Drosophila melanogaster: one gene and its partners. The protein of the gene in region 3 interacts with the protein of the main gene of each other region in a pairwise test. Each region holds a gene or a part of one and is shown on either strand. Other genes may lie near its edges.

The links.
Region 1: the proteins of yellow-g (region 3) and CG15109 interact in a two-hybrid assay, tested with the Drosophila melanogaster proteins (one large-scale study listed by BioGRID).
Region 2: the proteins of yellow-g (region 3) and Pomp interact in a two-hybrid assay, tested with the Drosophila melanogaster proteins (one large-scale study listed by BioGRID).
Region 4: the proteins of yellow-g (region 3) and pxb interact in a two-hybrid assay, tested with the Drosophila melanogaster proteins (one large-scale study listed by BioGRID).

The regions. Positions count from the first base shown.
Region 1 is NT_033778.4:19,055,316-19,062,936, reverse strand, and holds CG15109 (uncharacterized protein), read right to left. Parts: upstream 3,517-7,621; 5' UTR 3,451-3,516; intron 3,342-3,450; 5' UTR 3,319-3,341; coding exon 3,294-3,318; exon of another isoform or gene 3,203-3,293; coding exon 2,058-3,202; 3' UTR 1,872-2,057; downstream 1-1,871. Other genes in the region: Gpxl (glutathione peroxidase-like), read left to right, coding at 7,024-7,235, 7,289-7,621.
Region 2 is NT_033779.5:20,784,016-20,791,385, reverse strand, and holds Pomp (pomp), read right to left. Parts: upstream 3,731-7,370; 5' UTR 3,604-3,730; coding exon 3,601-3,603; intron 3,537-3,600; coding exon 3,271-3,536; intron 2,984-3,270; coding exon 2,848-2,983; 3' UTR 2,288-2,847; downstream 1-2,287. Other genes in the region: vari (varicose), read left to right, coding at 1-219, 666-764, 834-995, 1,051-1,261, 1,334-1,665, 1,726-1,800, 1,963-2,139.
Region 3 is NT_037436.4:2,267,126-2,276,235, reverse strand, and holds yellow-g (yellow-g), read left to right. Parts: upstream 1-3,466; 5' UTR 3,467-3,544; coding exon 3,545-3,985; intron 3,986-5,096; coding exon 5,097-5,293; intron 5,294-5,727; coding exon 5,728-6,271; 3' UTR 6,272-6,355; downstream 6,356-9,110. Other genes in the region: CG32302 (uncharacterized protein), read right to left, coding at 6,455-7,396; obst-I (obstructor-I), read right to left, coding at 7,707-8,366; CG13806 (uncharacterized protein), read right to left, coding at 8,769-9,110.
Region 4 is NT_033777.3:15,662,527-15,671,130, reverse strand, and holds the start of pxb (pxb), read right to left. Parts: upstream 4,949-8,604; 5' UTR 4,545-4,948; intron 3,154-4,544; exon of another isoform or gene 2,954-3,153; intron 2,899-2,953; exon of another isoform or gene 2,455-2,898; intron 1-2,454.

The DNA of each region.
Region 1 (7,621 bases), on a different chromosome or scaffold from region 3:
ATTGATAATGCCAGAGTGAGCTTAAAAGCAGCAAAACTGATTTTGCAATTTATATTCAGCAATTTATTTGCTGGTTATTTGCGAAAAGTTTTCCCTTAGTTGTCCAAAAAATGTTTATATATATTACTGAGCAGATTCCTGATACTTGGGCCATGACTTTAACGGCATTTTAAAGGCACCATTGCCATTCATTTGATATTTGCTGACTCAACAGTTCAATTGAATTTTATGTTGTTGCCTGTCGCCTTTTGACTATGAAATCTAGATTACAACTTTTGGCAACAACTTGTGGCTAACGTAATTACAAGCTTCCAAATGACAACCATAACATTAACAACAAAGGCACCGAAAGACCGACAGCCAGACAGAGCGAGTGACTGACAGAAGAGTCCTGGCAATGTCCTGGCAACGCTCGTCTTTGTCATCCTCATAATGAAGCCATAAATTTCAAAAGCAAAGAGATTAGCGAAAGTGGTCGCCGCCTGCCTTTCTCGAAATTTATATTTATATTTATATTTATATTTGTATTGTACGCAACTTAAAGCTATTTACGCAGATGTCAACTTAAAGCGAAAATGGCATTGGTGACGAAAGTGTGGCAAAAGTTAATGCACTTGCAGTGCTGACAGGACCTTGGAGTTGAGTGGAATGCGGAATGGCTGATGCAAGCATTTATTATTTACACTTGTAAATAAATATATATGTGTGCGAGGGTCTATGTTGGAGGGGGCCTGGTCACTTAGCAGCGGGAATTGCACATACATTCGCATTTACACTCCAGTTAACACCCCAGGGACATTGGCAGTGCCACCACAGAGAGAGAAATAATGTTTGCCTTACTTTTATATCTATAACAAATATAAGATATTTTTTGAGTGTACTAGAAATTATTATATAAATGTTAAATTCCTAGAAATAAGCAAGTACGTCCTTTAATTATTATATTTTTATGTCTGTTAACGTATGAAACACTATAAATATTTAATTAAATAATTAAATCTTTATACCACTCTCCAAATATAATTATTGTGCAATCTTATTCCATTCTTTCTATTTTTCCAAATGTATCTTGAAGTCGAAGGAGCTACGCAATTTTACGAATGCTGCGTTGCACTTTTCCGCTTGGCACATGTAGATGTACTGCTGGCATCTAGTGCAGTTTATATAGATTATATACGTGGATTTGTGAAGCAAATTTGTATTTATGCTGATGGCCAGGCACCCATGACACTCGCTATTTCAATGGCTTGCCTTTCCCTGGTGTTCCCAGTCCTGAAGCCTGAATTCTGATTCTCGATTCCTGACTCCCGGCACATTATGTGCCCCATTTAATGTCTATGTATGTGCAGCCAGTACACTTGCACATACTATGGCACACACTTACACGCCCAGTGAACGTCAAGTGGCAATTTACATTAGTTTTATTGTATACGAAATTAGCAGCATTTAGCAGTGGCAGCCGGCAAAACTTTTGCCTTTCGGCTCCGTTCGCTATGTCCCACCCCTACACCCATACACACACACACATGTATTGCTATAAATGGAGGATATATTCTCATCCGCAGTCAAGGGTTTGTATGTTAGATTTGTTTGCTCGTTTGGCTGCACTGTCGCACTCGGCATATCAATTTTCCCGCTCATCCACCTCTCCCCTCAGGACATTTCAAGGTAGGAAATCGATTTTGTTAATGAAAACGAAGGAGAACTTCAAGGAGAAGGCCACCCAGGGGATCGGGTGTCGATTGGAGCGTAAGTTTGATATTTGTTACGGGCGGAACAATGGCCATTCTGCTCGATGATGGCATTCCCGAAGGATTATATTGCAACTTTCGAGCTTGATTTTTTATATTCTTCCGCTGAACATAGTTATTATGATGTGTATTTAGTTTTTATTGTCTGTTTTTTGTATACAAAGTAAAAATGGTCTCGCCACTCCTTACATATGCAAGAAATATAAACATCTTCCAGTTGAAGCAACAAAAAATAAAAAAAAGAATGCGGAAAAACAAGTAACCTAAAATTTTTAAGAAACATTGTGACAGCTGCCCGTTTCAGGTTCACACTAGATGGCACTCGTTCACCAAAACGACATCATCTTCGACCACGTCGCCATTACGATTGGCATGGTGCTCATGGTGAATGGGACAGCTGACGATGAGCTCCTCCTTGGGTTCCATCTTCTGTGCCTCCTTCTTGGCCTTCTTCGTTAGTGCCTTATCCTTGATGCCCTTCTTTTTTTCCATCTCCAGCTCCAATTCTAGGTGATCGCCCAGCAGGTGATCGATGACATCGGGATTGTTGCGCAAAGCCAGATCCATGGCGCCATCAAGGAATTGATAGAGGGGTGAACTAACGTGACGCTGTGGCTCCTTTGGTGGTTCCAGCAAGAGATTTCCCTCGAAATTGGGCTGCAACAGCTGTTGCAGCATGTAGAGCATCGGTGGCACAGCCGGCGAGGATTTATGCTTGCGATGGTGCTTCAGTGGTGCTGCATTATGAAGTCCGCGTGGAGTGTTCTCGGCTGCATTCAGCAGTAGCACTCCGGCCAATTCCGGTGGCAGAACTTCCGGACCGTAGTTCAGCTCCTGCTGCACACTCTCAATCATCATGTTGGGCGCCAGCAGCTCGAACTCCTTTATCTCGTGCTTGCCATCTGGCGAAACCAGCTTGTTGTAGTACACGTAGGGATTGGAATTGGGATTGGGATTGGGATTAAGATTGGGATTAGGGTTGGGTGGCAATGAGGTGGCCATAGCAGCAGCTTCCACCGCTGGGCGACGCTTGTGGTGCAATTGTCGTGGCTGCAGACTGTCGTCCATCAGGCTACCCAAACGCCTCTTGGGACGGCGCAGTCCCAGCAGATCCTCCACTAGCTGAAATTTTCCGGCATCCGGAGGCGAGGATGTGGATGCCACAGCAGCAAGTGATGATGATAATGCGGTGGTGGTTGTGGAGCTAGTGGTTTTTCCACGAACTCCCATACTGCGCACCGGTCCAGCAGTAATCTTCTGCTCCGGAGATGTGGCGGCTTCAGTCATGTTAGCGGTGGTAATGGTACTATTGGCCAACACGGTGGCTTTTCCGCTCAGTGAAGCAGTATTGTCCATTGTAGTGGTTTCATTATAATCACTTGCAGTATCGCCTTGAGAACGCTTCATGCGCAGACAATCGCCGTACATCGGCCGCATCAACATGAGGACACCTTAAGCAAAACAATGGATGCGTTTGAAATACACGCAATTAATTATAAATAATTGCATGCTAGATGGTACTGAAAACTAACGTATACTTACACCCAAGGATCAGCAAGTAGTTCATCTTGTATTGCATGATAGGCAGCGCTGTGGAAGACAGTTGAGTTGAAAAAGTGAAAAGTGACCACAAATATTCTCAGAGTTGAATATTTATTGTAGATTTTTTTCCACCAGAATAGTTACAATTTGAACTTACTTTATTTGATTGGAGTGGGTTCTAGGTGTGCTCGGCACAAAGTTTGTACTGAAAATAATTCGAAATGCTTCCTGCCTCATGGCGAGGCTTTGACAGACAGCTGGGGACCTGGTAAAAGGTTACTGAGAGTACGAAAAAAAAAATCGAATTTCAATATTTTTCTGATGGGGATTTTCCACACACACTCACTTCCATTTGTGGCGACCTTTTCAAGTGCTGCAAATGGCAGCAATGGTACAAAAACAAAAAAAAAAGTAACAAAACACAACCGCGCACACCAAAAAAGTTTGTTTCGTGGGCCGCAAACAAAAGCAAACAGTGGAAAAAGTTTAGCTTATAAATTTCCAATCAATTTTTCGTGCAAAAATCAAGCGACCTCACACTCACACACAGGCACAAGCTCAAGTGTTCATACACGTAGTGTGTGCCTGCGTGTGAGTAGCTATTACTTGATTAATAAATATTAGCAGCAAAAATTGGAAAATTCTCAGCGAAGCGTAAAAGTGCAAACACCCAAACGGAAATGCGATACATTTGCGAAATGGCAGGAGCATTTTCCAAAACATCGATGCTTCTCTACGCACACAAGCACGCACACAGCACTACTCACCTACTCCATGTAACTTTTGATATAAAAGGTATATAAGAATTATCGAAGATATGAAATATAGGTTATGAATCTGCATGGATTGACTTATTGACTTAAACTATAATTTCCCATTTGTTCAAAATGTAACAACTATATCTTCTTTTGTGTTATATATCAAATGAATTTTGGTTACTTTCAAAAGGGTATTTCTTTCTCGATTCCCGTTTTTTTAGCCTAAAACTTGAACTTGTTTCTGCCGCCTTCGTCTTTAGGCATTAATAATGTAAAGTGCGTGCGTCAAATGTGAATTCCTTGCTGCCAACGCACGCGATTTCATAAACTGGCGACATTTTCAACAAACAATTCTCATCGCCGTCTTCGATGTGCTTGTGTGTGTGTGTGTGTGTGCGCCCTTCGAGGCGACTTGGCGCTCAGGTGGATTTTGGGGTGCAGGAGGCGGTAAACCAAGGGACCCCGAGGAGCAGGCACTTTTCCTTATCAGCTTAAATGTAAATGCCAAACGAGTGCACTGAAGGCGGGGAGGGGGGTCGAAAGGGGGCGTGGCTGAGCAGCAGCTGTTGCTGCATTGGGGATTTGCACATTTATACTCGCATATTGTAGCCCCACTCCTCGAAAACCCCGTTTTTCCGGTCCATCCTGCTGTCTCGTTTTCATCTTCTCGTTTTTTATCTGCCAAAGTTGATTTTTCGAGTGTATTGAATAAAAGTCGATTTTCCCCTTCTGGATTTGTGCGCGTTCGACAAGCGGCTTAAATGCGTACAGTTAATACATATCCTTTTTGCATATGTCTGCGTGTCTGGGGCTTATAAGCCAGTGTGTAAGTGGGTGTGCGTGCTCTTGCTTTGATGTGTGAGTCCGTTAAGGTCGTGGCTTATTAGGGGTCCGAAACCTTTGCCGCAGTGCATCAACGCGGCGGGATTTGCACGCAGACACTGCAAAAAGGCTCCCAAGACGATCCACTATAATTGGTAGCGAAAATCACGCATCCGCCGTGTGGGTCAAGTGGTGCTAGGGGAACTGGTCTAGCAATTGCTTTGATCTCGGGCGGAAAATCGGTGAGTGCGACTTTTATTAAATGTTTCCCTTTCGATTTGTTTCGGCGGAAAAGACTCCGGCTTTGTAAACTTTCATTAGTTGCCTCGTTAATATTCCAATTGTTGACACACAAAGGCGAAAGGTGGTGGAGGGGATGGCTGGCTTAACCTGTGTATAAAGGAATTTAATTAATAACGTCCTTCGTCCTTTTGCGTGTGCAGCGCGGCGTAAACTTAATTAAATGCGCAAGTGGCAAGTAGCAAGTAGCTGGGGCCACAGTGGCAAATGACAAGTGGAGATGCAGGACCAGCAGACGCAACTGGAGAAGCTCAGGTGCAAAGGTTGAAGGTAACACCTGGCCCGGCTAGAAGTAAGAAAAAAAAACGTTAAGGAAACCCTCCTGCCCCACATGTCAAAAGTTTTATTGGCGCAAACGCTACTTTTATGGCTACTGTTAATAGTGAAAAATGGTGCAACAAAAGCCAGAATGATGGCAGATGCTTAGACAAAACCAGATGGAAATGGCAAACGGGGGGAGCGGCAAGTTCATCGAGTTGGTCATAAAACAACGAGTTGTGGCTCAGTGACTTTAACGCGCTTCCATCTTTACGAGTTTGGTGCGCCGGGTTTATAACCTGTAACTGGGGGCAAAGTTTATTAAGTTTATGCCAAGTGCATCAAATATGCAAAACCGCTATAGTTGATCATCTTGGATGCTCGATGGATTTGACTTCGAGTCTGACGGAGATGTCTTTTAGCATAATCGCTGGTTATTGCTATAAAACCGGTTGGCAATCATTCTATGCTGATTTTATGATAATCACAATTTCAGCTGTGATCTATTAAAGGTGCTTTCTTCTGTGAGTTAAGTTGGATATATTTTTCTAATGGGAAAAAATCGTTAAAGTAAATAGTCTTCTTGTTTTTGCATTTAATAATGCCATATAATTCTGTTTACATAGGTTTTAAAATATATCATGCCTTTTCCTTCTTAGCTTTATGAAAGTGTGACATATTTTTCTGCGTGTCAAAGAGTTTGAAAAGTGATTTGCAGCCAAACTATAAAATGCACTGGCATTTCGGACTGTTTTTAGTGCAGAAGCTTGACTGACGACCGTAAGAAGTTACGCCCATTCCACGCATTCTAAATCAATTTCAGTCGAACGCCTTTCGCCTGGCATTGATTTATGGCCCAAATCCAAACGTCGTCTAAGTGGAAAAGCCGAACCGAAAAGAGGCGCAACTTTACCGAATTATATTTCAATTTTGGCAGCGAAAATGAAACAGAAACAGAGCCATACCGAGTCCACAAAAGTGGGGCGTGGCTGGGGAAAAGATGTTAAGAACTTTTTGACAATTGACTTAAAAAGTTTCCTCAAGCTGGCAGAAATTGACTGCCTTTTGTATACAAATAGGCCGAAATCACCAAGCCCACACACACACACACACACACACATATGGACAGGGCAAACGGAAAAGCTGGAGAAAATGGTGCCGCGTCCATGAAGCGGAAGTAAACACATAAAACGGAAATGAAAATTCAATTATTTCGTTACGATTGTTCAACTTTTTGTTGTTGTTGTTTTCAGTGTGCATCTGTGTGTGTGTGTGTGTATGTGTGTTTTGTGCTCTCATTTCGTGTGGCAGGCAGAGGCCAAAAAAAGTTTAACATTAAGTTAACGTGCAACTCGCTTCGTGGGTCAGCATATGCAACTTTAGCTCTTTTTGGGCAAATTCAATTTTAGCTGCCACTTTTTTGGGGCATGTGTATGTGTGTGTGTGTGTCTGCACCGAAACGAAAGGGCCGCACATTTAAATGCGATTTTTAACAGTCGCTTCACGCACAATTAGCCTCTCGAATCGATTTTCACTTAAAGCGTTTTCCCAGCTTCACTTAGCGATCCCAAATGCAGTTAGCACGCTAGACGATGTTCGATAAAGAATTTCTTTTCCCAGGCCTTTTGGTTGCAGTGGCCTTGGTGGTAGTATTACAAACACGCAGCAGATTGCAACAGGATTTGCAGGATATGCGATGGCGTCTGACGATACACGCTCTCACCGTTCGAGATACGTTTGGGAATCCAGTGCAACTCGATACATTCGCCGGCCATGTGTTGCTTATCGTCAACATTGCCTCCAAGTAAGAATGATCCACAGAAAGTTCTTAATAACTTGGCCCACCCTTTACTTCAGATGCGGACTTACTTTATCTCAGTACAACGGTTTGCGCTATTTACTCGAGGAATATGAAGACCAGGGCTTGAGAATTTTAAACTTTCCCTGTAACCAGTTTGGGGGTCAAATGCCCGAGTCCGATGGCCAGGAAATGTTGGATCACCTGCGCAGGGAGGGAGCCAACATAGGACACCTCTTTGCCAAGATAGATGTAAAGGGAGCTCAGGCAGATCCGCTGTACAAGCTCCTAACGCGCCACCAGCATGATATCGAATGGAATTTTGTCAAGTTTCTGGTGGATCGAAAGGGAAACATCCACAAGAGATATGGCGCCGAACTGGAACCAGTTGC
Region 2 (7,370 bases), on a different chromosome or scaffold from region 3:
AGCATGCTGCACGTTGGCGATGTCATCCTAGAGGTGAACGGTACGCCCGTTCGCACTCCCGATGAGCTGCAGGTGGAGGTGTCGCGGGCCAAGGAGAATCTCACCCTCAAGATCGGGCCGAACGTGGACGAGGAGATCAAGAGCGGTCGCTATACTGTGAGTGGGGGTCAGGTAAAACAGAATGGCATCGCGAGTCTCGAGACGGGCAAGAAACTGACGGTAAGTTCGATGTTTGGCTTGAAGGTTCCTCCCACAGATTGCTGCTTGCTTGCATGAGCCCCGATTAGTTGGAAGTTTATCCTAATAAGTTTATTGGCCAGTTAAAATTCAAATAATGAATCTTGAACAATGTTCTTGCCCAGAAAGGGTTTTTAGTTTGTTGTGCTTGCCAACTTACATGTTTAGCTATCCAGTTGTATGCTAATTACTCACTTATGACCGTTTTTATTTGTAAGCAGTAATAGTTTAGTTATCAAACCCAACTTACTCAAAATAATGATATATATCATCAACGCAATAAGTTACTATTAGACAAACATACAACGAATTCCCTTGAAATTTCTCAAATCGCTTGCAACTAAGTAAGTAAATCTTGGCATAGTAAAGCTACTAAAAGTGATAAATGCTTAAATAGTAACAAGGTTTGTGTTCTCATATACCAACAGTGCTACATGCGTGCCCTTTTCACATACAATCCATCCGAAGATTCCTTGCTGCCATGCAGGGATATTGGATTGCCCTTCAAGTCGGGCGACATTTTGCAGGTGAGTTGGTCAGAAAAAAAACAACCCATCTAGTTATCCTGATCAATGTACATCATCCTGGCATTGCAGATCATCAACGTAAAGGATCCCAACTGGTGGCAGGCCAAGAACATTACTGCCGAATCTGACAAAATTGGACTCATACCATCCCAAGAGCTGGAGGAGCGGCGCAAAGCCTTCGTGGCCCCCGAGGCGGACTACGTTCACAAGATTGGCATTTGCGGAACAAGAGTGAGTTTTCATAGTATCGCAATGGGCACCCAGTAAACATTGTGTGTTGCAACAGATCTCGAAGCGAAAGCGCAAGACCATGTACCGATCTGTGGCCAATTGCGAGTTCGACAAGGCGGAGCTGCTGCTCTATGAGGAGGTCACGCGGATGCCGCCGTTCCGCAGGAAAACCCTGGTTCTCATCGGTGTTTCCGGGGTGGGAAGACGTACGCTCAAGAATCGGCTGATCAACAGCGATGTGGACAAGTTCGGAGCGGTCATTCCACGTAAGCACAATTTAAGCTATCATTTTGGATATGAATATTCATAAATGCATTGTATTCGCGGAACCACTTCAGATACCAGTCGCCCCAAGCGCGCCTTGGAGGAGAACGGCAGTAGCTACTGGTTCATGGACCGCGAGGAAATGGAAGAGGCCGTGCGGAACAACGAGTTCCTGGAGTACGGCGAGCACAATGGCAATCTGTACGGCACGCATTTGCAGTCCATCAAGGATGTGATCAACAGTGGGCGCATGTGCATCCTGGATTGTGCACCGAATGCCCTGAAGATCCTGCACAACAGCCAGGAACTGATGCCTTTTGTCATCTTTGTGGCAGCGCCTGGCATGGAGCAGCTCAAGACCATCTATGCGGATCGCAGGGCCACGGGCTCCAACCGGAATTTATCTGTATGTTTCACGTAGCCCCCTAGACTAGGCACTCCTCTAATGCGAGCACATATTCCACAGTTTGATCGCCAGAGTTCCATAAGATTCAGCTCCAGACGCGCCCGTACGCTCGAGTCCCTAGCGTCGTTGTATGAGGTAATGTGCCCTGACCTATCCTTAATTACAGTGTCGTATAAATTGTGCTCAACTCAATCATCCGCTTGGCGCACCTAGGCCACCCTAGTAGCCCTGTTAGATCTCTGCCTGAATACCCAAACATTGCTTAACACATTCGCTTTCTATGACTTTTCCGAACAGGACGACGACCTTGTCGCCACCGTCGAGGAGAGCAGCTTCGTCCAGCGCAAGTATGAGAAATACTTCGACATGGTCATCGTGAACGAGGACTTCGATGAGACGTTCCGCCAGGTGGTGGAAACGCTGGATCAGATGAGCCACGAGGAGCAGTGGGTGCCTGTCAACTGGATCTACTAGAATCCCATGACCCTTTGCAATTGCGCCTTTATGCATATTGAAGAATATATACTATAAAAATCGAATGCCTATCATCACAATTAAAGGGATAATTCCAGTAATTGAAGCTTAAACTCGCAACACAATACAAATTTAGCGAAGAGCATTTAAAACGCTAGCGATTTCAATATTTATTGTTGATTAGACGTGTTTTGCTTGAGGAATGTAATGCGTTTTATTAACTATGTTTATCTCAATTACTGTCATTTTCCTCTTTAAATATAAATCATGTATATATGCAATGTTTGTATAAGTTGAAATGCGCCCTCCGTTTACAATTCAGTTTTCCTTAAGTATAAGCCTAATTTTACGAAACGAATTCGTCCATTTTACCATCTCTTGTTTTATTTTTACAAATAATGAATGATGTCAACGCATATCTCTTCAGTTTATTATTTTAACGAATCTCCTCAGTACAACAACCTTCTGCCAATATTTTCGTGTAGTTTTTAGATTTGTTTGAATAAAATGTGTAAGTTTAACGAACTAGTTAAATGTATTGATGTGGAGTTAAACAAACGAAATACGAATAAATTTGGCTCAAAGAAATGGTGAATTTTGTTTACCTCTAGCTGGTCGCACCAAAATATATTTTATTTGCTGATCTTAAGAGTGTCTTAGAGTTTAAAGGCTGAATGCCAGGCATTTAGCAACTTCATTTGCAGGGACTTATTGGTAAATTCCCAGAGATTTCTCCACCACAGCGTGGGGCTGACGCATATGCTCGCTGTTCTCGGGCAAGTTCATGAAGTCCTCGAAGCCAATGGAATCACAGCGGCCAGTCAGGACATCGTCCATGAAGTTGCTGCAATATAAAGGAAAGAATTAATATAGAAGATAAGTAGTCATTGCTGGGTTTTCGGTAATAATGGTACTATGGGAATCACAGGTATACTTGGTATACACGTATGTATGTATGTACGTATATAGGTATCCATTATTAGGCAAGAAGTTTAGATTTTCTAGATTGTAGGATATCTCAGGTTTCTCCGGGATTCTTATAATGTGGAAACAGAAGATTTCTGAATGCTTCCGCCCTTGCAGAGATTCCTGTCCAGACTGAGAAGCTCCCAGACCGGGCTAGATGCTCACCTGGACGAAAGGAAGGGCAGGCGGCCCACCTGACGTGCGGCGAAGCGCTCCATGCCCATCTTGAGGGGCACGCCGAGGCCCTCGTGGTTGCGCAGCATCTGCATGTTGCGGTTGTACTGGTGCTCGTTGTAGTTCAGCTCCGAGTCGCGCAGCCGGTGGACGTGGGCCAGTTGGTTCAGGCAGTTGGCCTCGGTGGGCATTCCCACACGGCCGGTGGCGTTCAGCACGGACACCTCGGCGGGCTGGACTTTCAGTGATGGCTGATACTGTATTGCGAGGGGTTTTCGTTTCGTTAGCGGCTCTACTAAATGCACTCGGCGAGGTACTTACCATATTCGTAAGCGCTTTTAGAATAAAAATGCGGCGAATTATAATTGTTTCTTGAATGACAAACAAATTCCGTGCGAATTAGAGCTGGTACTTGTGTCGATGCCTACTCGATATCGACGATAATTGACAAGATAATCGAATAGAAAGCAACTTATCGACTAGAATAGAATCCAGTAGTGTAGAAACCAGACTGGCAACTCTTTACATGTGTAGAAATCAGGATGGCAGCTCCAGACAATGCTAACATGGATTCAATCCATTTTGACCCACATAAATTTTAGCTCGGTTTCAAACCATTGCAGGGTACAAAAATGCGGCATGTCCGACAAGTGAATTTCGATTTGAAATTATGAACTCCAAATTTTCCAATCCAATTTGATTATTTAAACAAAATATTTCTATATATATAGCAACAACGCAGCACTATTTGAAATACACTTTAATTGTAATCGTGTTGATGGGTAAAAGTCGGTCTATGCAAATTGGCGTTATTAGCGCACTTAACACTTCGGTCAAGTGACGAACTTGAGTGTTGTGATTAATTACACCCTCGCTGGCCAGCAACGCACATCCGAAATATACAAACGTATCGATCTCGGCCGCAGCTCTAATCAATTCGATCAACAAAAGAACTGAATCCGCTGGCTGGCTGGCCGGGGTTTTGTTTTTCTTTTCACCCACACCTTTTAGCGGCTTTTATGATCTTCTGCTCCACAGAGACGCGATTCATTTGCATCGAGTGACAAACGCGAACGAATGCGAATGCGAGGAGACCAAATCACACGACAGGGCTTAATTAGTGCATGGTCACTAATAAAGATTCGGCCAGTGGATGTTGTGTTAATCAAACTCCCGCACACAATAGCCCAAACTGTCTCCGGCCAACCGATCCGATCCTATCCAATCTGAACTTGAAAATCCAAATGGAAACATCAACCGGATGGATGGATCTTCACCTTCACTTTAGACTAAAAGGTAGTACGTAAATTATGATTTATGCCCATTTACTGAATTTTACAGTGCGAAAAAAGCGAACTACATTCCTGCTTTGTAATTTACAACTTTAATCATTTTAATATTGGTATGGATGAGCATTGCAATACAAAGTCAAATAGTTTATAGCATGTATAGCTATAGTATTGATACAAAAACGTATTAGATAATTTAAAAGATCAGCCCTATTTTTAATGAATGAATTCTATATTAAGAAACTGACAAAATGATAAGTAAATTTAATCAGCAGACAATTCGAGAATTTACAATAAGAATATCGCAACGGGCATATTTATGGCGTCGAGTTGATAAAAATATCGTTAGTTTTTATTACTTTGAGATGCGATTCTTTCGGATGCAACTTATGGTGATTTAATCTATAAGTCTATAAATAAATTAAGTTAGAATAAACACAAATTACTCGCATCGATTTTAGCTTACTAGCATCGTTCCTTTGACTTATTTGTTAATACAATCATTTCAGTTCCCTGTGAATTTTGCCGCTTGAAGAGTTCAAAAGAACTCATACCACGATTGATTTATAACGTTTACTTTCTGTTTTACTGCCTTTGACCAATTAATACACAGTAGACCAGTACGAGGCGAATCAACCAATTCAGTCAGTCCAATATATGGCCATAAGGATGGCCAAGAGCCAACTATGTATGGTCGAATGGAGATGGAGATCTCAGGGCGAGAAGATCGATATGTAAAAGTCAAATAAAAATATAACGTCGAGAATTAACATTTTTTCACAGCAATAAATGCATAAAAGTCGAAGATGTGTATTCAAAAAAGAGAAGAGTCGTGGGTTCAACTAGGGGACTCTTCAGATGAGGGAATTCCTTTTAAAACAGCTTGATTGGGCTGATATTTCTCTTCTATTTTATACGCACTCAGAGAAATTAATGGGTAAAAGCAAGAGATTCCAAAAGATGATCAATAGATGATTTCTTTAAATTGAAGTACAAAATAAAAGGATGTTTCTTCAGCTTTTCAAGAGTTATTTAAAGGCATCCGAGGGCACGATTTCCCTCAGTGCACCAGTACACCCATTTCTGTATGACGTATATGGTATAAAATTTACAATCTTCTGCAGGCCGTCTCCGCTGGATGCTGCCCTCCGTCCGCCATTGTCGTCGCTAATAGAGACATACAACCTCCACTGGGAATTGATCTTGGATCGAATCGAAAGAGCAGGAGGCTTCGTTAACGGCACCAAAAGTTCGAATGTTTCGTTACTTTTCCCGGCTGCCATAAACTTTTATGGCTGCAAGACGCAGCGGAAGACGAGGACAATGGGTCTTGGACCTGGGATCGGGATTCGGCGATCAGAGAACAGGGAGCAGCTGTAAGCAGATGGTCGTCGAGATGATTGGGCATTATGCCGGACCAGGCCCGGGGCTATCCGGTATCTTTCTTTTTTTTTATAACCATAGGGGTCGCTGCCGCTTTGACGAGCCACCTCCTCTGGGTGCCAATTAAGATACGAGGAACTGGGCTGTAGCTGCGGCAGTATAACCGAGCTGGACCCTATTAGCAGCCATATTGCCAGGTACTGAACGAAATGTTGAGTTTAAGAAATCGAAGGATTTTAATGATATAATAATATAATATTAAGTAACATATAATATGAAATTCTTATTCTTGGAACTCTTAAGAAATATACATTGCACATGAGAAAAGAGAAAAAATGTTGGATCTTAACATACTCCCTCAAATATGGAATATAATTGTTTAAGGTTTTTAATACATTATTTAGTTTTCTGTACTCTCTTTTTTCTGTGCATGGGCACAATAAACGAATATCCCGTTCGTGAGTGATCTGAGTAAGATCGCTCCGCACTTTTATGGCTCCCATTCGCTAGGATCCCCCTCCGCCATTGGCTTCTCGTGAATCGAGATACTCTGGGCCATAAATCAAGCGGCTGAGTGAGGAGAGATGGCCAGTTTCGGCGATGCACTTCATCCATTTTTGAAAATGCCAGGACATAAGGACATGCTGTAATCCCAAATTGAAATGGCGGACGCAAGACATAAGCTGTGAATTCGGCGTAATTTTGGCAGCGGCATGTGTAATGCAGTAGCCAGGAAAAATAGAGGGTGTACGAAAACAAAAGGCGTCGGCAAAAGTCAAAAACCATTTCGATACGCCAGGATGACCAAAGGCCAGCGACCAGAATGGAACGGGTTGTGCCGCCGAGTTCCACCAAATCGGGGATATATATATATACATATACATATATACACGCAATGCATATCTCTGCCGATCTCCCGACATGTGCATGTGGCGTAACCGAAACAGAAACAGAAACAAATGCAAACACACACTGCAGTCGTCCGCTCCCAATTTGGTATGTATTTTTTAGCGTGTAGGTGTGAAAACGGAGTCCACTTCCTTTATCGGGGGAATGTGTTTTGGGTTTTTTGCTTTATTTCTGGTGGTTGCCGGTGCCTCCCCGGGAGGGGGTATTTTGCATCTTGGCTGACACACAAGTCCAAATATTTTCAGTGCGAAATGAAAACGAAATAAAACCCTGACTCCGCTGCTGTTTAATCTAAAAACGTTTTCCGATTCGGTCACGGTCCTGTTCGATTGGAAACCCGCTGTATCAAAATCTGGACAGGTCGTATATTTTACCTCGCATCGGCTTGGACATTTCCGATTCTGCTAATCGCAGGTCCTATAAATCAACCCCTTAAGAGCCGCAGCCGGGTACAATCTCTCTAGGCGGTGCCATACTAGACTATAAGTGCTAGTTGTGTACTATACCATA
Region 3 (9,110 bases):
GGCGAAGGACACATTCCTCCCGCAATTATCCAATCGACCATAAAAATGGCATTGCAATTATTGCAGTCAATTGAAAACGGAACCCCAACAAGTGTCTCCAGATTGGTGGCGATATTTTTAGCTAATTAATTGCGGGCAACAAAATGACCTCAATCTGAGATTTTGCCAGCCATAAGTTGGCCCATAAAGAGTGATTGAAGGAGTGAAAGAAAAATCTCAGCATCCCCGGGATTTCCCTGCAGAATTCCTGGGCCATTTCGCCATTTCCATCACCATAATTGCCCCTAAATAGGTTAAGGCCCTCGATACGGGCAGACAACCCGGAATCGCCCCAAACCAAAACCAACGTGTTTGGCATGTTAAATTGTCAGCCGAAACCCGCATTCCGGTTGGCTTTTTCCCCACCCACCAGAATGATTTATACGAGACAAGCGCACATATATACATATACATACATAGATGGAGCGCAAAAAATTGATGACAAGCATTTCCGGGCTGCTCATCTGACATAATTTATGTAAACACTTACCTCCCAGCAACAAAAAAGTTTTGGGGGGTAGATAAGAGACTGCCGGACGACTGCCGACTGACCCCCATTAGCTGGGGAAACTCCACTCACTGCTCGGCAAAACCATGGCCAGACATTCCGCAGGACGTTCTCCACACATTACATTGACAGTTCTTGTTTATGGCCCGTTAACGGGGCGTATGCGTCATCTGCAAAGTCGGGGGATTATGTGCGACTTCTTTAAAACGCGCTGCGCAACAAAGCAAAGTTCAACTTTTTATATGTGTGCCAATAAAAATCCAATTGAAAACGCAAATAAGCCAATAATTTGTCGTTCTTTTTTTTTGTCCCGCAGCAGCGGAAAAATGTACAAAAAAAAAATTGTCTGTGGTCACGTTTGATTTGTTTTGGTAAATGGGCCAAATGAGGTTTATGCTTTTTTAACTTTGTGCTGAGGAAAGCGATTTTCTTTACCGGGAATTTCACATAAATTCAGACCAACCTTTTCTGGAAATGCTGAACTCCAGGGTGGATTAATAACGTCATTTAAAATAGTATTTTTATGATAGTTATAGTTAACTAGCTATAGGTAATATATAGGTAATTTGATTTAAATTGGTTATCACAGAAAGTTTTCAGGGGCTTACAGTTGTAGTACAGGGTATTAAAAAGTCATCAGCTGCGCTTAAAGTTAATCTTCCCATAATTTTTTGGCCGCTCGCCTAATTTATGTGCTTTGCTTTCACTTTGCTGGCTTTCTTTCGTCGGCCAAGTTTTGTTTACGTCTGCTTAAAGTTGTCCACATTGGCTCTCAACCTTTTGCAATCGCCATAAATTATTGCCTTTATCCAGTGGCCCATCTTGGTTTAATTGTTTTGCAATAATTGAATTCATTGAATTCATCCGACAAATTGCTCTTGGCAACCCGCTGCTACTGTGTGTGCATATGAAACATTCACTTTTTGCACCCAATGTGCTATCAATGAGTTTACATTTGCCATTTAAACGCATCTGTCGATATCAAGGAGAAAATATTTCCAAATGAGTGCGGACAGTTCCCACAAATACACAAATACACTATCCATGGAATATGTTGCCAAATTTGTTGAGTTTCAATACACAATTTTATTGTGAATGGTCGATTTTGATATCTTAATCATTTAAAGTCTAGAGATGAATAAATGATTGCTGATTTCAAGCTTTGCCATAATCGTATCTGTAAGCTGTTTTTGCAGAGTAAAAGAGTCTTAGCATCGTCAAATTTCCATTTGCATACTTTGCTTTTATTTATGTTGGAGCACATAAATATTTATCCACAGATTCGGCCCGACTGACAATCCCGCCCACATATCACAGCACTTATCACATCCGCCTGCTTTTGGGCATGTGTGTGCCATAAATCGGGGGATTACGATCGTGGGAAGGGGGGTTTGGACCCATGGCAGTTTATTGAATCGGAATTCACAAAAATTCAATCTGCATGTAATTTGGCATTATAGACAGACCCTTCCCATTCCGCCATGCGGAAGGAGCAGCCAGTCTGACCCCCGATGAATGGGTTATCAAAATGTTGACCCGCCGATGGTCATTTGATGATGGGCAGCTGTAAGGAGATTAAACATTTTGTGATTTAATGTAAGCCCAGTGCTGTCCATAATTCGCTGCACGAGCTGTCCCAAACAAAAGACTCTTCAGCTGGACACCGACTCCTCCACCGCTTGCCCGAATGTGTCAAAGATTTTTTATTCGCCGCTTGGCGATATGTGGGTTTCTACGAGTTAACGGGGTCATCGACCACGTCGGGCGGATACACCTCTAATCCCCCCGCAATCAACGTGCAAAAAAGTCCACCAAAGTCCACAAAGAGACTTGAGCAGCCAACAAAAAAAAATATGGCAAAAAATGTAGTTCCAGGGGGCACCCGGATTTGAACCGGGGACCTCTCGATCTGCAGTCGAATGCTCTACCCCTGAGCTATACCCCCGACTTGAAAATGGCGAACTCAGAGCGCCTTTTAAAGTTCCCTGATGCGATAAAATTTCGCCTTTGCATTTATCTTAAAATAGAAATGAAATCAATTTGGAACAGAGTGACTGTTCCGCGAAACTGTGGGTGTGATTCACACGACGAATCTCCGGCAACTTGCAATCTTATCTGCGAGTAATGTGCCCCACCAACTCCCCGAACTTTCTCCTTTCGCCCGCCCCCTCCCCCAAAAGCAAACTGATAGCTAGCTGCAGACGGACGGACTGACAGATGTTTTTGTCATCCGAAAATAGCTGGTAACTCGAGCCAAGAAACTGAAACTTTCTCGGTCGCAGATATGCAGGTCACAGACGTCAGCATTGATATTGAACTTTTGGGCCACTTTGGCAAGTGTTTCGCAGCGACCTCTGAACTTTGCCTGCCAAGGGGTGAAACTTGCTACTCTGTCGGATGCACAAGAGCGATCGATGAGTGACAGAAGCTATTTCGCAACTTGAACCCATTTTATTGAACGGACTTGAGTGACTAATTAGCTGCCTATAAATGGCTATAATAGCACAAAGTTATACTCAGAAAATAAGAGCAATAAAAGGAGTAGAAGTGATTAATTAGACAGGCATAGATTGCCATAATAGAACAAACTGTTATCAAGACAATTAAAGTAAAAACCAGGGGAGTTAAATTTGATTTGGATGGCTTAGGAAGAATCGTGTAATCTAGATAGAGGGAAGGGGTTAAGTTTGCATTTCATTTCCGCATCGCTTTCCGCATTGCTTAGAAACCGAGCGGGCTTAGAGGTCTGGCCGACTTCCGGCGTGGGCCAGACGTGCTGGCTGGGTGGTAGCCACTCCAGACAGACACTTGTTCCCCCCCGTGTCAAGCAACCAACGACCTTGCCGCAACACGCTCCACATGCTGGCTGCATAAGTCGTTGGGTATTATATATAAATGCAGGTCTACCATCGCTCAGACAGTTTTATGTTCTGGCCAACGTGGTGAATCGAGTGCAGAAGCTCTGTTTGTGGAAAGCGCAGAAAGAAACGCCGAAAAATGTCGCAGCTGCAACTGCTGCTCCTCGTCGCTTCGGCCTCCGTGGTCCTCGCGGGATACAGCTCCTCCACCGACGAGTCGACGGACGCCTCCAACTCCATTGGCGGCACCAAGTGCGACAAGAACCCGCTGAACGAACTGACCTTCCAGCTCAGCGGCAGCAGCCTCCACTGGCCCTGCGAGTCCACCAAGAACATCTACGTCCAGTCCGGCCGCTATGTGCCCCGTAACGTGATCGTGACCCGGGCCCAACTGCAGCGGGACTCCGCCTTCGTGGCGCTGCCCAGGTACAAGCAGGGCGTGCCCTTCACTCTCGGCAAGGTCAATCTAAAGAAGGGCGAGTGCCTGACCAAGATCGCACCCTATCCCTGCTGGGCCATTCAGGAGGAGGGCAACTGCCAGGCGCTGCAGTCCGTCGTGGACATAGCCGTCGATCAGAATGTGAGTGCAATTAACGCCAGTATTGTTTGGACCATTTTTTTTTTGGGGGTCAGACAAGTTGTCTCGTCCAAACTGCCAGTTCTGCCTTTAATTACGGACTGCTCGTTGTTGGCCACCATGGAGGCATAGCACTTTAACCCACACCAAATGTTTAATTCATATTTGTATCGTGGGTGGATTACAGGGTAGCATTGAAATGCTCTTAGGGCTATTCACTTTTTTTTTCTAAAAATGATTTAGTTTATCTTCTGATATTGATATTGATGTGCAGTCGCAGTGTTAAATATTTGCTAGCCCTTACAAAGTCGATCAAAATCGGGAGTTTAGCTCCAGGGTATCGTTTTCGCATTAACCCCTTGCCGGACGCACTTTTTTAATTGGTTAGCCTCGCTGTCGACCAAATATTACTTTTTTAATCAAATAAACGGGGCCACAAAAGTGAAGAGCTCCAAATAAAATTCATGCCCGTCAATTGGCGGCAGCAATTTAAGGGTAGAATAAACGGATACGGAAACGCCGAAAAAGCTGTGGGGTAAATGGAATATTATAAAGGACAAGGACTGCAGCTGAAAAGTGACAAGCAAATGCAGTGAAAAGTTCTCGAAAATAATTTTGGAAATGCTGGGAACAGGCCATCCAGCCGTGTTTTGTGCATTTCGATTGCACTTCAGAAGTTCTCAGCTTTAATTTTAAATGACAGATGCATTCGCAGATATTACAATGATGCTATTAAATATTTACATGACCTACTTACGATTGCGAGCATAAGCTGCAACTTAATAATTTCCTTCAATTATTGTTGGCGTCGAATCGTTCTCATTTAAATGCCATTCCCGTTTAGCTGCATTTATGCAAATCATTTCTTTATTTTATTTACACAAAAGTCGACGAAACAATAACAAACGGCAAACAAACGAGGCGACTGTATTTATTTATTTGCGCAATTTTCCATTCAGTGCTTTTCGCTGATACTCATTTTATGGCCACATATTTGCGAATGTGGAATTTTTAACGCCGCCAACATTTCAATTAGCCGCCAAATGAAAACATTAACAACAATCAACACGAGCTGCAATTGATAGCAATTAATAATTGCCTTCTCCGTTCGCAGGGACTTCTGTGGGCCTTGGACGTGGGCATTGTCAACACCCTGGAGCAGCCCATCCGCAGATGCAGTCCCAAGATCGTGGCCATAAACACGGCCAACCACAAGGTGGTCAAGAGCATCGACCTCAGCGACCTGGTCACCTCCGAGAGTCGGCTGCAGTTCATCGTGGTCGACTACTCCAAGGACAACAAGCCATTCGTGTGAGTTCCATTGCCTATACTCTTTTATTACCCTTAACTTCATCTGTGAAATGAGTTGTACTTAATCACTTTTTGAAATACATCAACTATGAAATTAATACCACACATTACATTATTATTAACCATTATTACTAACCATTATTTATCAGCACAATGATATTCAGAGATTCATATTGCAGTCATAAAATATTCGTTGAAATCATCGAACTGAATCAAGAGTTTGGAGTACTTTTACCACACACTTTCAATCATGCTTTCAATCAGCGATCATTGAGCCAATCAAAAGGGCATTAGCCACTTTGAGGCTCATATCTTATCTGCTCAAGGTAGTTCTCAGAAGTGTGGCTCATCATATACCAAATAAAATCGATTTGTATTGCATACATGATATCTAATCTCATTCCACATTATATTTCCTTCACTTTCAACCATAGCTATGTGGCCGATGCTGGAGCACGTAGTATCCTGGTATACGACATCACCGGCAACAAGTCCTACCGCATCGTCCTGCCGAAGGCCACCGCCCCCACCAGCGATGTGCTGTACGTGGCGCTCACCTCGAAGCCGGACGGCACCTCCACCCTGTTCTTCAGCTACCTGAGCTCCCCCCGTCTGTACTCCATCAAGGGCGAGTACCTGCGCGTTGGCCAGGGAGCGGGCTCCATCATCGACGTGGGCCCCAAGCCCTATGGCAAACAGGCGGTGCTGCTGGGCGCCGACGGCGGCACCTCGCTCTTCTTCCGCTACAAGGGCGAGAACGACATTTACCTGTGGGACTCGGAGACCTGCTTCAAGGCCGCCAATCTGCAGGAGGTGCAGCGGGGAGGCGACTGCCGGCTGTCCACCCAAGTGCTCCCGGGTCACAAGCGATTCATGTGGGCGCTGGAGAGCAACTTCCACGATTTCATCTCGGATCGCACGGGCTGCAACGGAGCCTCGATCGTCCTGCATCCTGTGGTGCGGGAATGTGACGATTGAGTCCGTATCCCTCCACTTTCTTAGGCTTAAGATTCAAACTGATTTGTTGTCGTTACTGGGTCTCATTAAAATTTTGGTGAATATTTATAGTTATTTGTAGTTTATCTTAAAATGTTCAGAATGATTTCAATTTTTTAAATAGGCATTTACTTGAATCAATATTGGTACCATGAAAACAATTCATTACTCTGACTCTGATTGGCACTTTCGAGTCTCAGCATTGAAATACTGTCCCATTGGACAGCTGTAGATCTGCAGCTGGTGATCGATGCATATGCAGTACTCATCCTTGGTGGAGACATTGGGACAGCTGAGGATCTCAAAGTCCGAGCACTGATAGATCCTATCAGTCACGCAGGTCAGGATCTTAGGATCAATTTGGAAGCCGGCGGGACAGGTCATCACCTCCAGTTCTCCATCGACGCACTTGCAGTACTCGATCTCAGAGGTTCGGAAGGGGCATTGGTACCTATCGTTGTTCATGCACGTGTGGGACTCCATCGCCTGAATGCTCCTCATGCTCCTGGTGTCGGGCACACAGCTGTAGCTGTTGAAAACGAATCCCTCGTGGCACTTCATCATCAGCGGATACAGCGAATTGGCCGTGTCATTGACGCAGACGTAGAAGTACCGATTGTCGGGCGCCCATCCACCCACTTGTCCCGACCGACTGCAGGTGAACTGCTCCTGGATGCACTGCTCACTCTCCCGTGGCAGAACACAAGTGCCCGTGAGTGTGGAGTAGCCCGCTCCGTTGGAGCAGATGCGAGGGGTGTCCACACTCTGATCGCTGCACTCGTGGTACCGCCTACAGTCGTACGGATCCGGGAACAGGCCCGCCTGCTGACAGCTGAAGGGACCTCTCTTGGGCACCTGGCACTGCGACTGGAAGGTGCATCCGAAGGTACCCTCGTCGCTGCAATAGAAATTGTACTCCGATTGGCAGCCCAGCATCGAAATCGTTTCCCAGCTGCCGGTGGCATCGCGGATGCAGTAGCCCAAGGTGGTGCAGTTCATGCAAACGAAGCCGGGAATGCGCACATCCTGGCAGGGATTATCATTAGCCCACGCCGATCCCAACGCCAGAGCGAGCAGGATTAGACAAACCGGTACTGAAGACCTCATCTTGAAGACTGTTGGCTGGGTCATCTGCGGGACTAGCTTTTATAGCACCACCTAATCAGCCAGGCAAGTGTCTTTTTCTTAATTAAACAGATAAGCTTCTCTAGGTATTATCGATTTGATAAAGAACCAAAATTTTACGACGTAATAATAAATTTAGAAAACTTACTAAGCGTAGCTAAAATTGTAATTATTCGAAGAGTATCATCGAAACTGCGAACTGATAAATCCGGAATTCATTGAAAATAGTTTAATCAGTTTTAATCAGTTTTATTCCAAGATAGGCTAGCTACAATAACTATAATATGTTGGGTCAACAAGTTCCAGTAACGCACGCAAAGGAAATTAGATTGAAGATGGTTCCTACCGAGCATCTGAAATACTCAATATCACTGCCCTTTTCGCGACAATGATAGTACCCAGAGCAGTCAGCGGGATCACCAAACAATCCAAGCCGCTGGCACTTTCCAGACGAACTGGGCAACTCGTCGTCATCAGATCCTGTGTTCAGGCAAATCTGCAGCTCGTCATCAAAGGTAAAGCCCGTTGGACAGTAGTTAAGATGCCATTTGCCATCGATGCAGAGGCAGAAGACATCGCTTGCCGTGCTGTTAGGACATGGGGATGGAGTATAATCGTCCTGGCACTCAACGCTTCCCACCCGGCAGACCAATCGGTTGGCATCGAAGTAGGTTCCTTCAGGGCATTTCCAGATCTGAAGGTGCTTATCTTTGCACACGCAAAACTCGTCCATTTCTGTGGCCATCGGACATTTGCCGATTTGGTGATTGGTACAGCTGGTAGTGTCTGTAGATACGCAGGCTTGGATAGTTTCGTTAAAGTAGTAATCATCTGGACAGGATTCAGCAGCTGCATCCAATCTGAGCTCCAGATAACTGCCGTTCCCCAACCCTTTTCCCGTTTGAAACAACAGAAAAGTTAGGAGGCAGATAATCAGGCGAGATGAATCCATGTTGCAAACTTTCTAAGTAGACCTCTTCACACTCCGCCTTATATAGTACCTCACAACCAAACGCAGAATGTTTCGGTATAATTAATAGATAAACTGCAATGTTGTCACGAAAAAAACATTCTATGGAACATTTATGACCTAGTCACAGCACTCTTAGCAAGAAAGAACCAAGACAGTACTAGTCCATTTCTATTGCACTTTTATTGGAAAAAAACAAAGAACTCATTCTGGTTTAATTACCCACGGACATGGTGGTTGAATCTTTATTATCAAACTGATACCTTTTGAAATGGGAATTCATAAATTCATGTCAAATAGATTGTTATTCCAGGGTAAACATGAGTTGTTTATTAAATGTAATCCATTGAAGAGGAATAAATAAAGTGCAGGAATGCATCTTCCTCAGCAGCTTCCCAGGACGCAGGAGGATAGCTCCGGTCGGTAGTAAGTCCCATTGGGGCAGTCCATGTGCCGCAGGGTGCCATTTAGAGCCGAGCAGTAGTAGTACTTCCGGCAGTCGTTTCCATCGGCCATCAAGCCCACGTGCTGACAGGTGTTGGGCAGCACCGAAAAGTCGTCGTCGTTGGGATCCTCGATGATCACCGAAGGATCATCGGTGCTGGGCGGCAGGACATTCGATCCGCTGCGGCAGACGTAGTCCACGAAGGTCTCGCCATCGTTGCACCTGTGCAGCGAGGGGTAGATGACGATGGTGTCGTTCAGGTTCTGGTTAACCGTCGACTT
Region 4 (8,604 bases), on a different chromosome or scaffold from region 3:
ATTATGAGGCGCGGTAGGTAGATACAGATACATGAGTGGATGGGGTTTGAATCGAAACTTCAACATTCAACATTCGGCTGCTGTTTGTGGGACTTGTCTCTCAGCTCAGCTGCACTGACAGCCCAAGAATTCCCCATCTGTTGTGTGGGGTAGTCCAAGTCCAAGGTTGGCATTGTGATTCCCGAGTCCGATTCCAATTCCAATTCCGAATCCAAATCCGAAGCCGACTCTGAATCTCGTTCTGAGGCTGAATCTTATTCCCATTCCCAACATATGTTGCCAGTTGGCTTCGTTTAATTAGCTGACAGCTCTGGAGAGGAACGGCGAAGAGAGTCTCGATTCGAGGCACTGCAGCCTGATAAGATCTCGACAAAAAATGTATATGTGTGTACACACAGTATCTGTGTGTGTTGTCTTGCAATCAAATGTAAGCCGCTGTTGACATTGGAGATTAAAAGATATTAAAAACGAAGACGACAACGGCCTGAAGCGGCAGGAAACGGGAGGACGGCGACGGAGGAGGAGCTCTTGGATATAAACACAATGACAAACAGACAGTCCGACGGACACACAAAACATGTCAAAGATGAAATGTTGTAAAGAAAATTGAATTGAATTGAATTGAAGTCCGGCGCAGACCAAACTAATAAATAACAAAAGAAATCGTACGAAAATAAAAGTAAAATCGAAATAAAAACGGAAAAGAAATCTCCAAAGACAAGATTGAATTTCAAGAAAATGTACTCAGCAAAACTTAAAGCTTTAGTTACGGCTGGGCTCTCTTGGAAATCGATTGAATTGTCTGGTCTGGGTGATTAACTTGAGCAGACAAAAACTTAAAAAAAAAAAACAACGGCCGAGAATAATGAAATAAATCGTGTTGAAAAAGAGCCAAGTTAAGCAGAGGGAGTCCCGAGAAAACCCAAACGCAAGACAGACAGTCAACGAAATCGATTTGTTTTGAGATTAAGTCGACTGCTCGTATCCCATCCCATTCCATGCCATCCCTATTCCAATCCCAACTCTCTACTCTTCCTCCTTTTCGGCCAAGAAACGGACTTAACTGAAGCGTAAAACGGAAATGTTATGGACAGGCTCAAAAGGAAGCGTAATGGAAATCAAAGTCCTAACCGAATCAGGTGCAGGAGTTCGGTGGGCAATTAGCGTGGGCAACTCGTTTCGATAAGAATGAATGGACCCAAAATCAGAGGCAGGGGCAAAAGCACTTAGATAATTGTCTTAAAGCCGGGCCCACTCGGATAATTGCTTTAAAGCTGGCCATACTTATAGGACAGCTGTCTCTAAGATCGAATAGAATTGGATCGGCTCGGGATTACGAGTTCCCTGCCCCTTCTGATCATAACTCAAACACTTCAAGACCAATTAAAGGGTTTTCCATTTCTTCCCCAAAATGAATGCAATTTCTCCCGTCTTCCTTTCACTTTCTCGCACTTTCAACTCGCAGTTGATTTATTCCGGGAGAACTTCTTTCCACTACTTGACAAAGACAATTGCGGTTCAAGTACAAGAACAGCTGGCTCAAATTTATACACTTTCATAATTGAATTGTTTGATTGGGAAATTGTTAAAATAAAAAGAGAGAGAATGGAAAAAGTAAAATTAGATGGACACAGCCCAAAAGTCAAGCCTCATATCGGGGGTTGCTATATGGCTATGTGGCTATAGGCTATATGGCTCAATTGCAATTGGGTTCGTGTCGGTCAGGTAAGGGAAACGCATTTATTAGCTGCCATGATAAATGTTCTCCGGCATTGGCGACAGGCCTTCGGATTCAAGGCAAAGGATCTCCGAAATCCCTACCGTCTATTGGGTATATTTTCCCTCTCTACTTTTTTTTGTTTTTTTTTTTGACCGCCAGTCTATGTGTAATTTTAATTCGTTTGGGTCGCACGAAGGAAATTGATATGGGTGCGTCGTTGTTGTCTGGCCCATGGAAAGCCAGGCTCAGGTAAGAATTTGTATCTCGCTTTTCTCCTCTGTCGCACTCGTTCTACTTTTGGTCGCTCGGATATTGAGACATTATAGTTAGGGCATTGATATCACAGCGGGGGATTGTCGGACTCGTAAGTGGAACAAATGTGGCAGACAGTTGGAATTATCCTCGGAAATAATGGTTGCGAAATCTTGGAGGGTTTATGAGATTCAGATAAGTACTGTCTAACTGGTGAATGATACTATAATTATGTTTAAACTACTTCAATGTTAATTGCTGTCCTATCAGTAGCTTGTCCAGGATTGTAGTATAAGTCCTGATTTTCCTTGATTTATTCTGCACGCATTTTAAACTACATTAAAGCCGGTTTTTCCCTAGTTTTTCATCTTTAATCTATGGAAATGCCTTAGGGCCTGGCCACACGCACAAATTACTGGGATCTGGGCCCGGATTTTAGCCCCTCAGTTGTGATTTACCCAACCTACGGCAACTTTTGACTTAGTTTACATATCATTTATTATTTGCGAGGGCCAGGGTCCCGAGGTGCCTTGTTTTCCACAAGGTGTAAGTGCTCTACTAACCAAACACAACTTGCCACGCCCCCGAGGCGTTGGGCGAGAAAAATGCGAGGGAAGGAAAAACTTTTAAATAAAGCAAAGATTGGTGGGCAATAGGAGAGGCAAGATGACGGCATGTCACATCAATGTCACTCAGCATTAAGGCTGAAAGAGAAGTGGTGGGAGATGAGGGGAAAATTCATGTCCTGCGAGCACTGCGATAAAGTTTTTTTTTTGTTATTCAGGCTCGCCTCCTCCTTTTTCGCCAGTTCCTCTTCGGCCGCCGGGCAGCTGAGCGTGAAAAACAGCCTCCTGAATTTTCCCCGGCTTTTCTGTGCGCTTTCGCTTTTCCTACGCTTTCCTCTGCTTGGCTGGACTTTGCTGCCGCTATAAATTTACAAGCGTATAACAAATATTTTCCTTTGTGTTTACAATTTCTTACTGCTTAATATTCCTGCGCGAATGTTTTGTTTCTGTCCGCCATATAGCGACTTATTTGCATAAGATACTTTCTGTTTGAGGTCTGAGCGAAGTTTACCTTGTAAGTAGCTTAGGAATTGCCATAAGTTGGCCTATTCAATGAACTTAGTTCTTTGATGCAGACTTGCCGCAGAAAGCAAATAAGATATTTTTAGTCATCGTCTGCACTCAAATATTCATCACTGGCACATCAAGTTTATAAAAAGGCCTATACTTCTTGCTGTGCTCTAGTGCACAGACGACACTTTTACTGAAATTTATGTTTCAACTACAGAGAAAAGTCAGTTGGCTTATAAATTTCAGGGGCACACGCTTGGCATACTAATTAGCCGAGGGATTTCATTCGAAAAAAAAGGCTAAACAGCAAGCGGAAATCCTGTGAAAAAGGGCCGACATGTGTACGACTCAATTCCGAATTAAAATTCATTTTGCCAAACAGGTAGAATGCTTCCCATTCACACGATTCAAATCGATTCAAAATCCAGTACCCAGAATCATTGTGACCGCAAGCAACAGTTCACTTGTCCGAGGACTTTTCGAGCTACCCACGCCACTCCAGATTGAGTTGTTATTATTATTTATATCCATGGCGACCACGATTCCCGTTTAACAACTCATTTAAGACCAGATCTTATCGCGATCCTTCGTACATCTTCTTGTCCGACTTCCCCAGCTCCAGCCATAAGCATAAATTTTATTTTGCGTGAATTTATGAGTTGCGCCGACGACAGGCGGGGTATACTTTACTTATTTACCAAAGGATTTACACGCCAAAGAATTGGGGAAAATAATGAACTTCGACTGGCTGCACTTGTTGCGCGTTTGCTAATAATTTAAACAAATTTACAGAATGGAAAAACACAGCGCTCGAAAATGCAGGTAAACAAAGGTGTCGCCTCAACTAGTATTTGGTTATAATTAAAGGTCCCTCGCAGTCTTTTCTTCTCTTTATTTTCTCGTCTCTTTGGCGGTTTCTACGCTTTGAAGAAGGGAAGAAGCCGCAGCTCCAGCGAAACCCAGAGATGATTTGTTTACATTCTGATGGAGCCGCATGGGTCGCCACAAGAGTTCTGTGCTTTATGGCTTGATAGCAGATAGCTGCACAGCTATCTGCTGTTTCCACAAAAATCACTCATCACTCGGGCGTAACTTTATATGGATAAACATATCTGTTCGATAGACACAACGCACACTTTCGGGGAATTTTGTTTGGAATCGGATATAATCCTTCACTTGCTTATTTGAATAATTCCCCAACTTCCTCCTATAAATCTCGTTTTTTACGGCCTCACTCCGCTGGAATGCCTTTTTTCAGTTCGTTTCAATTAGTAAGCACTGCACTCTGAAGATTAGAAAACTCAACTTTAAAACATACTTTAATGTTGTAATTCCCAAATCAAAGGGAAATTCCGTTGATCTTTGCTAAGAAGATTGTCACTCGCCTACAGAAGCTCAACCCAAAATCGCCAACTAATCCGGTGCGTAAAAGTTTTCAATTTCTCAGCGGCATATCCAGGTTTGATTTTTCATTTTCCATTTCCCTGCCCACTTACCCGCTTTTCTGCTTTTATAGTCCAACGGATATTTGTCAAGTGGTTTGATAAACTGTTTCTGCTTGTCTTTTGCTAGCTAATCAAATCGGTTTCGAGCCAATTGTTAATCCAATGTATTGCTTGCGAATTTCGCTTTGATTTTTGACAACTTTTCGAGTATCACTCAACACAGAATATTTGTGGTATTTGATTTATTATTATTAGTTTGCACGACGCGCGTATCGTTTGCTTGGGATTTGTGGTAAATATTTTCGTTGGTATTTATTTTCGTTTTCAGTAATCCACTAGTGATTCACATATCTTGAAAAAAGTCTCGTATTCCGTTCAGAGTTTTCTTTTCGATTATTGTGGCAACATGCGAGACACTCACGTCCGTTTCCTGCGACGTCGAGTCAAAAACTGAATTCCAAATTCGTTTCGAGCGACTGACGACGGCAGCTACATCTGCAACATGTGCAGCGGCAACAACACGACAGCAACATCGACATCGGTTGCCGCTGCCGAATCCAGAGAGAGAGTTCGGGGAAATGAACTTCCCGAGAGAGAGGATGAACTCATTCGGGCTCGTTCTAATCGGCATTTTCGCACATTTTCGTTGCAGTTGACATTCGCTGGCGCTGGAAAATTGTCCATGTTGCTGGCGAAAGTACAAATAAAATCATAAAAAAATTTACTTTAAATATTGCTTGGCACATTTTTATTTAAAAGTGCACACCTAGCTCTGTCTTTTCCAACCAAAGAATGTTTACGATTTGTTTACCTTGCATTTAAAATCGTATGCCGTTGAACTCTTATGTACATATCCCAAAAGATGTACAATCATGTAGTTTAGCAACCGTTGAAAAGTATTATTTTAATTCCTAATCAATTCCAATTATATTTGAGTGTCACCCAAAAACTTGTATGTATTTGCTATTTGTTCTCGTTTTATTTATCTACCGAGCCCATTAAGACGATTTATGGAAAGTTTCAGGAAAACATAGGTAGTTCCTTGGCTGTGATATTGTGACAGTCAATAACATGATAAACATCATAATCATATTTGAGAAAAGCCAAGCCCATTGTAAAAATATGAACACATAATGTTGAAATGGTAACTCAACATTTCTCATGTTGCTTAAGCTTGGGGATTAATTTCTTTTTTTATTAAACACATAAAAACTTAAAGCAGATTTAAAGACAGTCGAGCGATAATAAGTATGACTGATTTTTGAAAACAGATTTAGCAATTAGTTTTTTAAATAATAAGCTCATTAAATTACTCATCTAAGTGTATCAATTTCTGCACCTGTCCATTAAAAATGTATCATTCGAAAATGTCCCAATAAAACTAAATTATACTTCATCATATCGATTACCATTTTTTTTACCGGTAAGCAAAAATAACAACTTTTTGTCGTTCAATCAAGTGAAGAAGAGCAACAAAAACAACGACCACTATCAAGGTCAATGTCTGATGGGAGTGGTGGCGAAAACAGGGGGAGGCAGCGATTTCAGCATTTTCCTGGTTTTTTCTTCTTTGTTGCTGTTTTTCAGCTGCATGTAAAAGTGCAATAACAACAACACCAGCCGGCATGAAAATTCAATGTTATTTCTCATATCACCCAAGAAGTACTCTCTTTCGAAGTTGAACTTCGAAAATGAACTCGGTCTCTCTCGCGCTCACTCTCTCTCTCTCTCGCTCAATTGCCGTAGAAGTTGCTGGTGTCTTAGCAACATGTTGCTGATTGGTGCACACTCTTTTTTTGTTGCAATGCGATTTGTGTTTACGCATTTTTTTCGCACCTCCACTTACTGTTTACGTTTATCGTTATACTTTCACCTTCTGCGCCACTTTGGCCCCAGCCCCGCCCACTTTTCCACCATCCACCCACCGCATTCCTTCTGTGTTTTGTTTATAAACATTCTTAACCGTTTGTTTTCAATGCAATTCCATTGTGCCAGTTGCTGAAAGCAGATGAAAAAATTAGGTGGAGAGTGGAAAATGAGGAAGCCTATCTTTTGAATGGGCTACACTTAAAGGAATTTTGATGTAATATATCTAAGGGCCTAATATAGTTCTATATATATCTTTTATTTACCAAATGTAACAAAAATTAAAATTTATTTATTTATTTCTTTACAATAAATATCATCAAATATAATCAAAAATATTATAACTACTTTTTGTTTCTGTGCACTTACAAGTTGTTTACAGAACGGAGGGAAATTCTTTATAAATAGTTATTTGTCGACAGCAGCAGCGACAAATGCTTTTGGCCGCAACTTAGTCAAAGTCGCTAACGGTAATATCCATGCTTCGCTCCTCGGAAAATCCCAACCCCCCGGAAAGTCCACCCCTCCCAGACTCATTAGGCGTGTCAAGTGATATGTTTGCCTTTGCCTGTTACCCGGGGACCAAACCGAAACACATTAGCGGCTCATTCCCTGCAACTTGGGGGCCAAAAGCAGAAAAGGCCATGCAAATTAAAGGCGCATTAAGTGATTGACCCAACGGAGGGGGGAAAACTGCGGGGTATTGCTGGGAAATGGCGACCACACGCACATTCTGAAAACTCGAAGAACTTTTCGAGCAAAACCGCAGAAAAGATGCAAACTGAAAAGTATCTTAAGGCTGCCAGCACTCTGGAGAAATTGCCAAACCCAGAGATACCAAAGTATAGCGACTTAAAAGTGTATCAAATGTGTTCATACAACATTCATATAACATAGCTTTAGCTCCAGCCAAAACAAACATTTTGCAAAAGAATCTTTTAAGCTTAGATTTATCTTTCGGATGAAAATGCGAGTGCTGAAAAGTAGCTAGTGGGTACAATAGTTTCGCAAGTATTTGCTAGCACACAAAAGTTATAAAATACATACATATAAATATACATGGGATCAGAAATTTTGTATTTCATCTTTAAATTGGAAATGTTTAGAAAAAGATAAATTTTAATTGAAAAATGCACATATTCTTTTATAAGCCGTGCCATATAGGCCTTCTGAAGTTTAATTGAATGCCAATAAGCACTAAAACTCTTCAACGTTGCTATGTAAAATTTGGATAACAAATCTCACGTGGTCTACCAATTAGCCATCCTGTTTGCCGGTTGCCAAAAATTCATAATACAAAATGCTCTTTTATGTATGTATGTATATCGGCATACTCTCCCATGAACACACGACAAGACAGCTGACGGCGAGGCTTGTTTGCAGATACAATAATTAATAATTCCGGGATAATCTGCATGTTTGTCAAAGTGATACGGTCCAAAAACGGCAAGAGGAGAAAAATGTGTTCGCAAAAACCCAACACAAAAACACCTACACACGCACGTGAATTTTGAAATCTGTGTGCGGAAAAAGTGAGCCAGCCAAAAAACATTTCGAAACGCTCAAAACCATCTGCATAAATACGTTTAGATTGGGTTTGAGCCCGATTCCCCGCCCCTGAAAAGAGGTCCTGTTAATGATTGTATGAGATTGAGCTGGACATCCTGCAAGCCATCCTCTCCCCTTTTCAATTGAAATTTTGCTTACTTTACCAGCTGTTCATGTGCCCTCCACATTTGACATTTATTGCTGCAACTTCATTAGGTCTAAGGAAAATATTATTTTTCCACATTTTGAGAAGACAATATAGTTTTGCGAAAATAAAACAGTTTAAAGACATTAATTGCAAAAAATGGTGAACCCTTACCGATGCCGATGGGTATTATCTAAATATCTCAATGATATGTTCATCATTGAAAATGCAACCTTAAGATAAAAGGCTGCATTTTATTTGCATCCGTATCCGTATCTTAAGAAAACAGACAGTTCTTATATCTTATCGTTATCACTCACAAACTTTCTGACCTTCGTAGAGAGTTTTCCCAATCTATGTAGTTCAAGGTTCTACACATTCCGTTTGTGGCATGAAGCATGTGGGGAAATGAAACTCTGAAATAATCTCTCGAATGATTTCGCACAATTCCCGTGTGAGATAACACAAACGCACCCATCCACCGCCCCAATGTGCCAATTTCAAGTGCAATTATAATTTTTGTTTGTCATGCAAAAACATCAACAGGCAAAA